Linked DNA regions of Drosophila melanogaster. The protein of the gene in region 1 interacts with the protein of each later gene in a pairwise test. Each region holds a gene or a part of one and is shown on either strand. Other genes may lie near its edges.

Region 1 (3,977 bases):
AAAACGAAAGAACAAACGCTGAAATCAAAGTTCAAAATCATTGATCTGATCAGAAATCAAACATAAGGGGCAATTACATGATAATAATTGAGTAAATAGGTAATTTTTAAAAATATTCATGAAGTCATCGGCAGCATCTGGAATTAGTGTTTCATTGAGAAAGCAAACAGCAAATACATTCAGATTCCCAAGCCGATGATAATGCCACAGGTCTAGACTGGCGATAGTCGTGTGTCCCACCCAACGAAATGCGTCATTTATTGATTGCAAATAAATATCTGGGAACGCAACAAGCGACACCAAAGCCAAAACCAAATCGGATGCAATGCCTCATTCAAAAGTGAGTCAAAACGAAATATGTATTTAAAAGTATTTCAAAGCATGAGGTAACATTTCCGTTTGTCAAATACAAATGAGACCCACGTAGATAATAACATGATGCAAAGAAATCTAAATCATTACTATCAGCTCAAACATGCATTTAATGTGTATGCAATTGTTTGATTTTAATGATTATTTTAAACGCAGTCATGTGCTGCCGGCTTAAAATTGAAGTATGTAAATAATAAACAAACACCTTTATTTACATATGTATGTACATTGCCCCAAAAGAACAAACAGCAGTGCCATGTGCTCAAAACCTAAGACTGATAAGACTAAAGCCCAGTTTTTAATCCCCAAAGCAAGAACGCAGCTGCTATCAAAATATTAGAAACATTAAAAAAAAAAAAAAAACATTTATTTATTTACGAAACTAAACTTATTATAAAGCTTGGATGAGCAAAGGGACATCCGGTAAAAAAAACTTGAAACTTCTGTTCAGTATATATGTATATTTTTGTACTAATATTTTGTTCTCCACTCCCATCTGACTTATGATTATGACTCGCGTTTTAAGCGTTCATCCATGACCATGAGTTATCTGACCGCTAATGGGTTAACTTCTAGTGGTGTTATCGCCGCACTTGAAAGTAAATACTTGTTAAATGAAAGGGGTTTACTACTGAAACGCTTATCGCGGCAGAGAAATGTAAATAAATGAAAGTTATTTGCGCTGATTTGACGCTTTTCCGTGCCTGCGCTAATTCCTCAAACTAATTGACACAGAAACGGATTTAAAAAACTTGCAGTACGCGATAATGAAATTAAAAATAGATCAACAGCTGAAAATACACGGTGTGCGAGCGAGATGGCGTGATCGGGCTATGGCCAGGAAAGTCAAACAAAAGCCAGCGGGGCAGAAAGAGATGGAGAGGGGGAAGTGAGAAGTGAGAAAAACACAAAGAACTAGAACACGGGAAATCAGAATGGGAAATCAAATGCGTTTGGTTTTCTTGTTTGCCTGCTCTTCACACTTGTTATTTGTGAATCTCGAATTTGTTTGACGAGTCGAAAGACCTTCAGCTTCAGCTATTTAGCGCCCTTTTTATCGAGTTGCTAGGCATTCGGAGTCGAGCAAAACAGAGAAAATATGGCCAAGTTCCACGGTGTCTTACCACATTTGCATAAGCTCTGCGAACGGCGACCACAACAAAAACGAAAGCGAACGATTTTTACCGATTTATCACCAGGAACGCACACTTAACCATACACTTTCTTTATTTTAACGAACTTTTCAGATCTTTTCGATCACTTTTGACCACTTTTCACCACTCTTTTTCTGACGGTGCAAATTATTTGGTAAGAACTTTAGCGCATTTGTTATTGTTTCGTTTCGGCTTCGATTTTTACAGGCACTGCGTTGTGTTTGCCCAAATCCGCGTATTGCATCGATTTTGGTTGCGAACTGCGTATATAGCGTAGTATCCGTATCCGTGTGCTCAGCATTAACCGAAAATATCGTTAATGTAACATTTTCTCCCGGCAATTTGTGCACTTTTTGTTACTTTTAGCGGAGCACCGGACGCACGACCAACGCAGATGAAAACATTTCGAACTGAATGAGTGGTTAGCGCTACCTTCTCCTTAAATACCCACGCTCTCCCGCTCTCACAATGCGTTTATGCGGGTGTCATATCATGAAATGAGTTAAATTCATGTATTGATGATGTCTAATATGGCCACATATGCTAGAAATCAATTGTATTTTGTGTATTTAAGAAGTAGTTATATATTAAATTTCCTCTTAATATTGATACATTTTAATTACTATGTACAACTGTTCAAAACGTTGACGTACAGCACATCATTACTCCATATGTTACTAATAGAAATCATGTTTCACGCGCCATAAGCCTCTCATTTTTGTTGCCACATTTGGAGAGAGCAGGACAGTGGGCTGAAAGATGTTCAATTGAGACAATCAACATTGGAAGGTTTTTAAAATATTTCGTTAATGTCTTGAAAATCTTAACGGACTATTTTGGATATTGTTCATATTATTCCATAGCTTTTTTCAAAACACAATTGTTTTGGCAAGAAACTGTCTACCAACTGTTACACATGTTCCTAACTATCATCGTAATAATGTATCTCAGTTCTCAATATGAAATTAGACTTCGAATCTTTTAAGTGTATAGGCTGCCAGACCCGCGAAATAAAACGCAACAGCTTGTCCACTCTAAATTGAAAAACTGTTGGTCACACAAAAGTATAGACCAGATATCGATAGACGCCGATAGATTCGGTGAAGTAAAATCGTGCAATTTCTTTTCCAAAGACTTCCACTAGTTAAAAAATAGATACAAAAATGTCCGAATTGCAGGTGAACTGAATCTACGTCAAATACGCATTCGTATCTTAAAGTCTGATTACCTATTCAAACTTAACCTAAACAGGAATTCAACCAGGCGGCCGAAGATGTTAAGAACCTAAACACCACACCCGGGGACAATGACCTTTTGGAGCTCTACAGCTTGTACAAACAGGCCACTGTGGGGGATTGCAATACAGGTGGGTCTCGGACATAGTCGTCACTCCGCTGCACCATCGATAATTCTAATCCAATGCAGATAAGCCCGGCTTTCTGGACTTCAAGGGCAAGGCCAAGTGGGAGGCGTGGAACAACCGCAAGGGAATGAGCAATACCGACGCCCAGGCCGCCTACATTACCAAGGTCAAGGCACTGATCGCTGCCGTTGGCCTGAAGTCATAGACTCAATCGAAATAGGATGTTGCATTTTATAGTCTCAGTTGTCGTCAAACGCACAAACTTTGATTTACAGAAACTTCGCACAAACTAAAATTTTTCGCACAATATACACCACAAATTCGTAACGTAACGTAAGCCATGTAATTTGTCATAGAGGGAATGAATATACATTTAACTATGTAGGATACTGCTTAGGCCTCTGTGGGTGAGGCGGCGGTGCTTCCCTGGGACTGGCGCTGTCGCTCGTACACTTCGCGCTGTAGCTCGCGAAGATTTAGCTCCAGCGTCTCCACCACCTCAAAGTTCATGTCCTGGCGAGCCTGTTTGATGTAGCCCTTAATGATGTTTATCTGCTCGATCAGCGGATCGTCCAGGCTGGACTTGCTAGCCGCCTGCGGTGCTGACCAGTTGTTCAGAGATTGAAGATCAGACTGTGAAGCAAATGGAATCACAGAGGTTACATATTGATCTTTGCAGAGAGTCCTCGTCTACATACCCCTTGGGCAAAGGATCCGCTTTCCGGACCAGGAACTCCAACGTTGGATTGGTTAGCTGCCATGTTATTTCGTTCGTAGGCTTCCATGGCCATGCGCTGTTCGGTGAGGATACGCTGCTCCGTTTCCATGCGTCTACGCTCCTGCATCTGGCGTATGTGCGATTCCTCTGGCAGTGGGGGCAGCGATAACATTCGCTCCTTGATGGCTTGGATGCAGCCCAACCGAATGGCCTTCTTTAATGCCTCCTCCCGGCTGCCTGGTTCACAAAATATGGCTAGAATGCGCTTGCTCCTCATGTCCATGGCCTCTGCCACTTGTCCAATCTTGCCGCGCAAAGCACCTGCATCCGCCAACGTGAAGATTGTGTCCCCTTCGTTCAAGCTATTGAT
Region 2 (5,455 bases), on another chromosome or scaffold:
CTCAGTCATGGTGTGGGCGTACTTGTAGAGGAAGGCGTACTGCTTGGCGATGACGCGACACTGACGCATTGCCAGAGCGGCTGCAGCGGTGCCCCGGAGGAGCTCCATCTGCTTGGTGGTAAAGTATAGCACGGTGTTGTATTTGGCAGGCAGAACATCAATGTAGGGCCGCCACTCGCTGAACTCGCCACGGATCTTCTCGATGACCAGATCATAGGCCAGGTTCAAGTGGGTGGCCTGCGTCATTTTGCCAAATAGGCGGCAATCGGAGTTGTTTTCCTCGGATAAGATGAGCTTCCGGGGCACGCTGAGCACCAGCTCATCCTTGGCCAACGGTCGGGTGGCCCGCAGACCCAGTTGGTAGCCGGGAAAGATGGCTATCTCCAGTCCCTCACTGTGAACTCCGCCATCTTTGGCCCACGCACTGAACGCCTCCACTTTGGCCAGACGGGTCTGATCGTCGGGGGAATCGCTGATCTGCGGACACACTGCTTGGCTGAGTGGCTCCTCCAGGATCATGATTTGTTTGAGCAGCTCCTGTAGCTGCCCGTACTGCTTCCATTCCTCGTTGGGATTCGCCGGTTGCTTTTCCACCAAGTCAAGCAGTTCCTCGACGAGCTTGTTTAGTTGGCTCCTCTTTTTGCCGTTTAAACTGGGCAACGAACTGGCCGCCTGCTGGTCCTCAAAATCCTCGACTGCTGTGCCGGATGCGGATGCAGTTACTCCGTTTTGTTGTGGCTGCTGTTGCTGCTGTTTTGTCTTCTTGTTGCGCTTCGTGTTCTTACCCATGGCGGTGCCGTTGGTGGGAGCGAGAGAGAAAGACAGAGAGAGAGGAAGACAGAAAGCTAAGCGGTACCGGCGGCCCAAAACAACAACAGCCAAATAAGGAAAATAAAGTCGAGAAATCTGCACGCGGGCGATCAGCTGGCCGGCAGTGTGGCCATTCGTCGGGCGCCACTAAATTACTCCGACAATTGGTCACACATTCGACGAGCTTTTATGCTGAAAACTTTTTAATAGGGGTACTCCTAAGCTTTTTTTTATTACAAAACTTATGTTTTCTTGTAAAATAAATTGTAATTCACGTTGCATTTTTGGCACATCAATAATATTATAATAATTACTCTTTATAGTTATTAAAATGGCCAGTGTTTTTTTATATTTTATGTTGCATTCTTGAAGAGCGGGAAATTTAAATTGAGAATTTGTCCTAAAATCCAGGTTGCAGAAGCTCGTATGTATAATAATATATTTATTTATTTATATAAATAAAATCGCTCTTTCCATGTCTTTTAGTTTCTATTTATAAACAATTTGACAATGGCCCATAGGGTTATCTTAGATTTTCTAAACGTCATCCAATTGAGAAACGTTATGTTGATAACAAGAAATCCACGAAATAAAAATGTTATTGTACGAAAAAGAAATAATTGTTTGTTGAGCTTTGTGGGTTTTTGCAAAACAAAAACAACAAGAAATATTTACGATTTTCTTATCTACGGTAAAAAAAACTTGAACTAAAAAACTAGGAGATAATGCCGCTCATCAGATGTTTACGCACTTTGTGCCATTTTTGGCTAGGGTGGACCAACACACAAATCAGCGTTTGAGTTAATAGTAAGAAACAAATTCCGTCCAAATATACAACCTAGGATACGAAATCTAAAACATGATAAGTGCATCTTGTAAGAAAGACGCAGTTTGAGAAACTTTCGACAAATACGGAATATGGTCCACCCTAAGGCGCTCAAGCAATTTGAGAGTGGCTCAGTTCTCAGTTCAGTGACTCCAATGCAGCAACAACGGCGGTTGGAGCACCAGCGGGCAGAGCGCGAAAGAGAGGCAGTGGTGGGGCTCCAAAGGCGTAGGCAGGATGGACCATCCAAAGGGGTTCCAGATCGCCTCTTCTGTATAAGTTATCCATAAATAGCTTATACACTGCATCCTTTATGAGTATAATGTGGTAAATGTATAAAGAATCCCGGTATATTAATTGGCAACTCATCTTTAATTTCGGATCACTGATAACCAACCATATTCCCCTGCTATCCCCGCCTTTGGTGACCTGGCTGCCATGTTTCGAGCTGCAGAACTGTTTCTTCCAGCCACCAACTTCTCAGTGCAATCGAGTCGTTCGAGCAGAGAAGTTGGGAAATCCCGTAGAAAAGTAAAACTCTAGGAAAAGAGAGATCGGGAAGGAGAGATAGAGCGATCATGTCTGTGAATGCGGATCTGCAGAGAGAGCGGGCGGCGGCCACCTTGGACAGCGAGGACTTTGCCCGCTGGTGGGCGGGTGGCTCTGGGCAGCTGGAGGAGCGCCGCGCCCTGGAAAGGCGTTTCTATGAGGATCCCGACTTCGCGGAGCCAGTGCATCCGAGCTGTCTGTCATACAAGGAGCGCTACGAACAGACCGTGGCCCGATCCACACGCTTCCTGGCCAAACTGCGCCAATGGCAGCGGGAGAAGCAGCCACAACTTCAGCTTAGTGTGAATATGCTGAGGGACTTTCGGCTGCTACTCTCCGGATCCCTGGGCACGGGCCTCTTCCAGCAGAGCTTCCCCCTTCGGGTGCATTTCTCCATGTTCATGACCACCTTGCTGAGCCAGGGAACCGAGGAGCAGCAGGCCCAGTGGCTCAATCGATCCTGGCACATGGACGGCGTCCTGGGCACCTATGCGCAAACGGAGCTGGGTCACGGCACCTTTGTCCGGGGCCTGGAAACCCGAGCCGACTACGATCCCATCACGCAGGAATTCATCCTGAACACCCCAACGCAAAGTTCATACAAGTGGTGGCCCGGCGGACTTGGTAATACCGCCAATGTGGCCATTGTGCTGGCCCAGCTATATGTGAAGGGCAAGCATTATGGCTTGCAATCATTTGTGGTGAGGATCAGGGACGAGAGGACACACGAACCGTTGACTGGAGTCGATGTGGGCGATATAGGACCTCGCCTGGGTGGCAATGGCGTTAACAACGGCTTTCTGGGACTCCGCGACGTGCGGATACCGCGCAATCAAATGCTGATGAAGAACGCCCAAGTCCTGACCGACGGCACCTTCGTCCAGGGTAGACCTCCGCTGCTGCTCTACGGCACAATGGTCTATGTGCGGGTAATTACCGTGAAGGATGTGCTCTTTGGACTGCTCCAGGCTGCCACCATTGCCACCAGGTGATTATATAGTTTCTGGGGATTATGTTTATCATAGCTGTTATTAAGCCCATAAAACACATTCAGCTCACCCAGGGTTCTTTAGATAATAATTATCATTATCTTTAGGTATTCCGTGGTGCGTCGCCAGAGCCGGATTAACAGCGATCAGCCGGAGGTCTCTGTTTTGGATCACATCACACAGCAGGCAAAGATTCTACCGCAAATTGCTCGAGGAGTGTCCTATCGCCTGGTATCCGATTGGCTGTGGCGCTTCTACGAGGACGTACTCCGCCAACTGGAGGATGAAAGCACGAAAGGACGCAACTCCCTGCCGGAGCTGCACGCCCTGAGCTGCTGCCTCAAGGCGGTGGCCACCGACGAGGCCAGCGAGGGAGTTGATCTGCTGCGCAAGAGTTGCGGTGGCCACGGATTCCTTTCCTCGGCGAATTTCGATAGCATCTATGGTCTGACCGCCGCCACATACACCTACGAGGGAGAGTACACAGTACTCCTGCTCCAGACAGCTCGTTTCCTCGTCCGGCAGTATGCGGATAGCTTAAAACGCAAGGTGCTGCCCTCCAGTGTCTCCTATTTGAGGGATACAGCCCGTTTGATTTGGGGCAAGAATCTGGTTGCGAATTGTGTGCGAGCGCTGGAGATTTCAGCCATGGAGCAGGTGCGTGATGCTTGGCAGACCCAGAAGATGCACCAATCCGGCAAGGTGAGTCCCGAGATGGCCAGCAATCTGGCTGGAAGGCAGCTCACCTCGGCTGCCATAGCCCATGCTCACGCATTCTTCACACGCAATGCACTGGAGCAAGTGGAAGCACTTCGAAAGAAGGGCGATCTTAGCCCGAATGTCTCACTCATCTTGGGCCAACTGGTTGAGCTTTTCGTCATCGATACATTCCTGCGACAGTCGGGATGCGTGCTGCGTTGGAACAACGGCATCACTGGCACCCAACTGCGCTTCGTGGAGCGTCGCTTTGAGGAGCTGCTGGCCAAGCTGCGACCCAATGCGGTGGCTCTGGTGGATGGATTCGATTTTCACGATCGTGTCCTGGGCTCCACGCTGGGGTGTCACGATGGCCGGGTGTACGAGCGTCTCATGGAGGAGGCACGCCGAAATCCGATCAACCAGGAGCCGGTCAACTCGTCCTTCCACAACCACTTGTTGCCCATGATGCGGGGAAAGCTGTGATGTGGGGCTGGTCTTTTGTTTTCTACATACGTATATGTTATTCACTAATTTTTGTATTGAAGTTGAATCATAACATTTTTTTTTAATAAAGGAAATAGGATTTCGCAATTGTTTGTTATTTTGCACTTACCATTTTCAAACTAACTTACTTGCTCGCCCTTGTTAAAGTTGTCTTTTTCCGATTTATTCGTATCGTTTTACACATTACACATATTGAATTAAGCTATTAAATTAGTTTACTCGGATAAATAAAGGCTGGGGTACACACAAAAAAAAAAGGGATTTGATCTGAATCGAGTCTAGAACATCTTCTTCCTGACCGCCGTATACCGCTCCATGTAGACATCGTAGCCATCGAGATCGGTGAACTGTTTCGAGTTGAACAGATTGCCGTCGACGGCCAGGTTGCAGATTTTCGAGTCCTTGAGGATCTTGGGTGTAAAGGCCGCTGCCTGAAGGCAGTTCTCCTCGAGCCGCAGTGTCTTCAGCTTGGGACAATCGGCTACTTCCTCCGCCAGCGAGGATATTTGGTTCTGGTTAAGGTTCAGTTCGGTCACAAACAGTCCGCCCACATCGGCGGGCACATCGGTGATCTTGTTCCTGGACAGGTCCAGGACATCCAGCTGCTTCAGACCGCACAGCATGGAGGGGAACTCCTTCAGCTGATTGTTGCTCAGATTCACGGTCTTCAGGTGCGTGCAATTGGCCAGGGTTTTGGGCAGCCTTGTCAGCATATTGTCCATCAGCAACAGCACCTCCAGCTTGGCCAGTTCGCCCACCACCTCGTTGAGTTCCACCAGTCGATTTCCGCTTAGATTGAGGTGCTTGAGTAGCGTCAGCTTGCCCAGTTCGTCGGGCACACGTTCGAAGCGATTCTCGGAGAGATCCAGGGTTTTCAGGACATTCGGGTAGGCCCTTAGCTGCAGTGGGAATTCTTGCAGCCGCTGCAAGGATATCTTCAGGATTCCCGTCTTCTGGGCCGTCTCCAGTTGTTGTTTTATCTGTTTATTGCCCATTGTAGCAGGGGTCTCTCCAGGGAATTCAAGGTTTTTCGCCTAATTAAGAGGTGGGCGGGTCGACTGATGACAAATCCAGATCT
Region 3 (4,970 bases), on another chromosome or scaffold:
GGCTATTGCAAGCTTTGGCCGCACTCACCAAAGGATTGGATCGGAACCATCAAATCTGTTCCAGCATTATCGACGCGGCCATGAGGGAAGCAAGAAAGAGGGAACCTGTTTACCGCACCATGGCCCTGGCTTCTCTTGGCGAAATTCTCGATCAACTGGAAGCGGATCGCTTTGAGGAAGTGTACAACATGAGCTGGAACCTGCTGGAAAAGAAGGAACTGCGCAAGGAGTCGGACGACGAGGACGAGCCCAACACCAGTCAGGAACTGTCTGCCGACGAGCGCAACAAGCGGGCTCAAACACTCAATCGACTAAAGGAGGTTGTGTGGGAGACACTGGGCAAATCCTGGCCGCGTCACTCCATCGAGACGCAGCACCGCTACCAACTCTTCTTTGCCGAAAACTGTACGAGCATTCTGGCGGAGAGCACTCGCCCAGTGCAAGTCAGTCTGCTGGCAGCACTCACTAAGTACATCGAAAGACTTCATGTCTTTGATGAGTCTGCTCAAGTGCCGGATTTGACTCAGATAAACCAGGAGAAGAAGATCAAGACAGAGGAGACGGCGCCAAAAACCCGAGAGGCCATTGTCGAGAAGATATGCACAGATGTTTTGGCTGCAGTTGCTCTTGCCGCTGGAGTTCCTCATTCCGGTTTGAAAAAGGAGGCGCTCAACATCGTTCTTATGCTGATCAAGCGGCTGAGCGGAAGCGGAAACGGAAACCAGCAGCCACTGAGGTTGATCAAGCAGAGCTTTGAATCGAATTTGGAAAAGTTCCAGCGCGATTCGGCGCCGGAAATCCGGTGTCGCATCAAGGACATCGAAGACAAGCTAAGCAAGTTGAATCCACAGAATTAAGTCATATTAATATAAGCATTTCAAGGATGTGTGTGTGGCCAAAAAATCTGCCTTGGGTAGATTTTATAAAAGGGGGTAAGCGTTAAAAGAAAACATCTAACTTTGGCAAAAATGAATAAGTAACTTGCATGAAGATAATTTTCTATTGTGATTCATTGATCCAGGAGTGTAAGGAAACCTTAAATATACTATCATAAATACTTTCAGTTTCGTTTTAAGTTCAAATTTTAGGGAGCTATTTAGATTATCTATTCTATTTAGATTATAGGAACAAAGGTGATTACATATCACAGCCGATTGTTTTAGGATGCCTATAACTCTACAAACTACTCCTGCAGAATCTTAGGTATATCTCATTCTCAGACTCCAACATGAAGGACTTTGGATTAAAGCGAATCTCCGATACTGTTCGCTCGCAAGTCTCAACCCAATATTGCTTTAAAATGTGCACTATGCCCAGTTTCAATTGGAGTACGCCCAGGCGACTACCAATACAGCCATGTGGACCTGCTCCAAAGGGTATGTAGGTCATCGGGTGGATGTGCCTAGATCGCTCCGGACCGAATCTCTCGGGATCAAAGACGCAGGGCTCCGGCCAAAACTGGAATTTAGATTGACATAAGTAAGTTGGGATAATCATCACCTTTGGTTTTAAATCTAACCCTTTCATCGCGATGGAGGCCGAGTATTGAGATGTATGCTGGCATCCCTGGTGGCACTATGAAATCCACATGCGGTTGCAGTGAGAATCCCTCGGATGCCGAACTGGTGCACTCTCTGTTGACGAAAGCAGCAGCCGGATAGAGACGCAGTGCCTCCAAACACACCATTTTGAGATAGGGCAAAGTCATCAGTGTGTCATAGCTTAGGGTAGCAGTGGAGATGAAGGCTTCTCGTAGCTCACTCCTCAGTCGTTCTTGAATATCCGGAGCCTTGGCCAACTCATAGAGAGTGAATCCCATCAGGGCTGAGGAGGTTTCAAATCCGGCCAGCAGTATGATACCCGCCTGCGAAGCAACAAAGTCCGGATGCTGGGAATAGTGGTTGGATGAGCGGCTCAACTGAAAGTGCTGCAATTGATTGATGAGATCTCCTTTGGTGGGCTCGTGATGATCATCTACCAAGTGCCTCATATAGCGCGCATAGTCTTCGGTAAAAACTTTGGGCTTCAGCACACCCGTCCACTTGGGCAGAAAGAATACACTCATGAAGTCCAAAACCTTGCGGGGATTGGTGTTAAATAGCTCCTTGGTTTTTGTTATCAACTCGGATCGACCACGACGCAATCCGCCGACATTCAGGCTGTAGAAGAGATTCCCCGTCACGTCGGTGGTGTACAACTGGCACATTCTTCCCAACGGGAGAACGCGCTCCAGCCGATCCCCCAGCTTCCTGTTGAGGTACTGCTCCAAGTCGCTGGCCACATCCAACATTTGGCTGTACATGACATCCCGCATACGGCCGCTGGTGAAGAGCTGGGACATGCATTGCCGACTCTCCTTCCAGTGATGGTACTTAGCCAGCGGTAGCGTCAGTGCACCCATGGGATCTCCGGCGTCCGCCGATTCGAACCGGTTGAGAAAGTTGTTGAAATTCTTAATCAACACCTGGCGGATTAGCTCCGGATCCCGAACCATAAGCGCCGGCGTTTGGAATATGAAGAAGCCAACGATCTTCGCCTGACCATTTCGTGGATCTGCGTAGAGCTGCCGAAAGAGATCGCCAAAAGAAATGCGCAGAAATAGAAGTTGTCCCAAATTGCCCATTGGTGACCAAGAGGAGGGTGGCAGGTGCGGAATCCCACGGCTCCTGAAGTAATCGTACTTGTGCCTTAACCAAAAATTCAGAGTCACAATGGTGAGCAACAGCAGCCAGATGAGCAGCATGGTGTCTATAAGATATAAGATAGAATATTATAACTATGAAATATATACCAGCATTAGGTAAAGATAGCTAAGATCCAAAAAGTCGTTCTTTTGAATGAGGAGGAGACCTTGTTCACGACCGTCAAGAAATGCATTTCCATATGCATAAGTTGAACCTGACCCACTTAACATCTCGACAAGCACTTCCATTCACAAATAGATTCATTCATTGCACTCAGGATCATCTTGATGATCTCATAGTAGAGTTTCCGCTTACCCAAAGCTTTAACTCTATGGTGCTGGCAATATTTCAGCCAGTTGGACATTGGGTTTGGTGGCGTTAGCATGGAACTGGTACTGCTGATCCTCGTGGCATCCCTAATAGGGATTGCCTTTCTGGCGCTGCAGCAGCATTACTCCTATTGGCGGCGAATGGGAGTACGCGAAATCAGGCCCAAATGGATAGTGGGCAACCTGATGGGACTGCTCAACATGCGAATGAGTCCCGCGGAGTTCATATCGCAATTGTATAACCATCCCGATGCGGAGAACGAACCCTTCGTGGGCATCCATGTGTTCCACAAGCCGGCGCTGCTTTTGAGAGACCCCGAAATGGTGAGAAATATCCTGGTCAAGGACTTCGCTGGCTTCTCCAACCGGTACTCGAGCTCCGACCCCAAGGGCGACCCTTTGGGATCCCAGAACATATTCTTCCTGAAGAATCCCGCCTGGAAGGAGGTACGTTTGAAGCTATCGCCCTTCTTCACCGGCAATCGACTGAAGCAGATGTTTCCCCTGATCGAGGAGGTGGGCGCCAGCTTGGATGCCCATCTCCGCCAGCAGCCGCTGCACAACGAGCGGATGCGCTGCTTCGACTTGGAGGCCAAGGAGCTGTGTGCTCTCTACACCACGGATGTGATAGCCACGGTAGCGTACGGAGTGAGTGCCAACAGTTTCACGGATCCGAAGTGCGAGTTCCGCCGCCATGGACGTTCTGTGTTCGAGTTCAACCTGCTGCGTGCCGCGGAGTTCACTCTAGTGTTTTTCCTGCCCCACCTGGTCCCGTTCGTTAGATTCAAGGTGGTGCCGGCGGAGGCCACTCGTTTTCTGCGCAAGACCATCAACTATGTGATGTCGGAGCGGGAAAAATCCGGACAGAAGCGCAACGATCTCATCGACATTCTCATTGAGTTCCGTAGGAGCACGCAGCTGGCGAAGGCATCGGGTATCAAGGATCAATTTGTGTTCGAGGGCGACATCCTGGTCGCCCAGGCGGTACTCTTCTTCACCGCCGGCTTTGAGTCCTCCTCCTCGACCATGGCGTTCGCGATGTACGAGTTGGCCAAGGATACGGACGTACAGCAGCGCCTGCGGGAGGAGATCAAGGATGCACTGGTCGAAAGTGGAGGTCAGGTGACGCTGAAGATGATCGAGTCACTGGAGTTCATGCAAATGATTCTGCTGGAGGTGCTGCGCATGTATCCGCCACTGCCGTTTTTGGATCGCGAGTGCACTTCTGGGAGGGATTACTCGCTGGCTCCGTTCCACAAAAAGTTCGTGGTGCCCAAGGGCATGCCCGTTTATATACCCTGCTATGCCCTGCACATGGATCCCCAGGTGGGTTGAGATACATTTTGCATACATTACCCAACGACTACCCTTTTCCAGTACTTTCCTCAACCGCGAAAATTTCTGCCTGAAAGATTCTCGCCCGAGAATCGCAAGCTCCACACGCCCTACACCTACATGCCCTTCGGCCTGGGTCCGCATGGCTGCATCGGAGAACGTTTTGGATATCTCCAGGCGAAGGTGGGTCTGGTTAACCTGCTGCGCAACCACATGATAACCACCTCGGAGCGCACACCCCATCGCATGCAGCTGGATCCCAAGGCCATCATAACCCAAGCCAAGGGCGGCATCCACCTACGGCTGGTTCGCGATGCTTTGGGCGTCTAACTCACCTGAATATGGGATATGGGATAATCTGGATACTTCTTTCCTGGGTGGTGAGACTATGGAGCCTACAACAACTGAATGGAAACTAAGCAGCGGAGTCGCGTGTTTGGGGATTTAAAATTGAGCTGGTGTCGCATCTTAAAGGCAATTTGATTGGCAAATTGCGTGTTCCATCGCCGGTGAATAGTGAATGCAATACTATCCATACATATATAATACATCTCCAAGATCCAAGCGTATCTGTATAGACTCTACTTATTCCACAGATGAGAGCTATTGGGTTATTTGTTAC

Evidence for each region.
Region 2: the proteins of Acbp1 (region 1) and CG4586 interact in a two-hybrid assay, tested with the Drosophila melanogaster proteins (one large-scale study listed by BioGRID).
Region 3: the proteins of Acbp1 (region 1) and Cyp6t3 interact in a two-hybrid assay, tested with the Drosophila melanogaster proteins (one large-scale study listed by BioGRID).

The regions. Positions count from the first base shown.
Region 1 is NT_033779.5:8,161,038-8,165,014, reverse strand, and holds Acbp1 (Acyl-CoA binding protein 1), read left to right. Parts: upstream 1-2,562; 5' UTR 2,563-2,689; coding exon 2,690-2,704; intron 2,705-2,777; coding exon 2,778-2,892; intron 2,893-2,951; coding exon 2,952-3,094; 3' UTR 3,095-3,219; downstream 3,220-3,977. Other genes in the region: Rbsn-5 (Rabenosyn-5), read right to left, coding at 3,283-3,522, 3,588-3,977.
Region 2 is NC_004354.4:6,967,804-6,973,258, forward strand, and holds CG4586 (uncharacterized protein), read left to right. Parts: upstream 1-2,114; 5' UTR 2,115-2,214; coding exon 2,215-3,173; intron 3,174-3,281; coding exon 3,282-4,356; 3' UTR 4,357-4,462; downstream 4,463-5,455. Other genes in the region: Setd3 (SET domain containing 3), read right to left, coding at 1-789; CG3040 (uncharacterized protein), read right to left, coding at 4,656-5,372.
Region 3 is NT_033778.4:12,188,460-12,193,429, reverse strand, and holds Cyp6t3 (cytochrome P450 6t3), read right to left. Parts: upstream 2,749-4,970; 5' UTR 2,744-2,748; coding exon 1,520-2,743; intron 1,459-1,519; coding exon 1,177-1,458; 3' UTR 994-1,176; downstream 1-993. Other genes in the region: CG8858 (uncharacterized protein), read left to right, coding at 1-857; Cyp6g2 (cytochrome P450 6g2), read left to right, coding at 3,068-4,339, 4,391-4,678. UniProt on the Drosophila melanogaster protein: May be involved in the metabolism of insect hormones and in the breakdown of synthetic insecticides.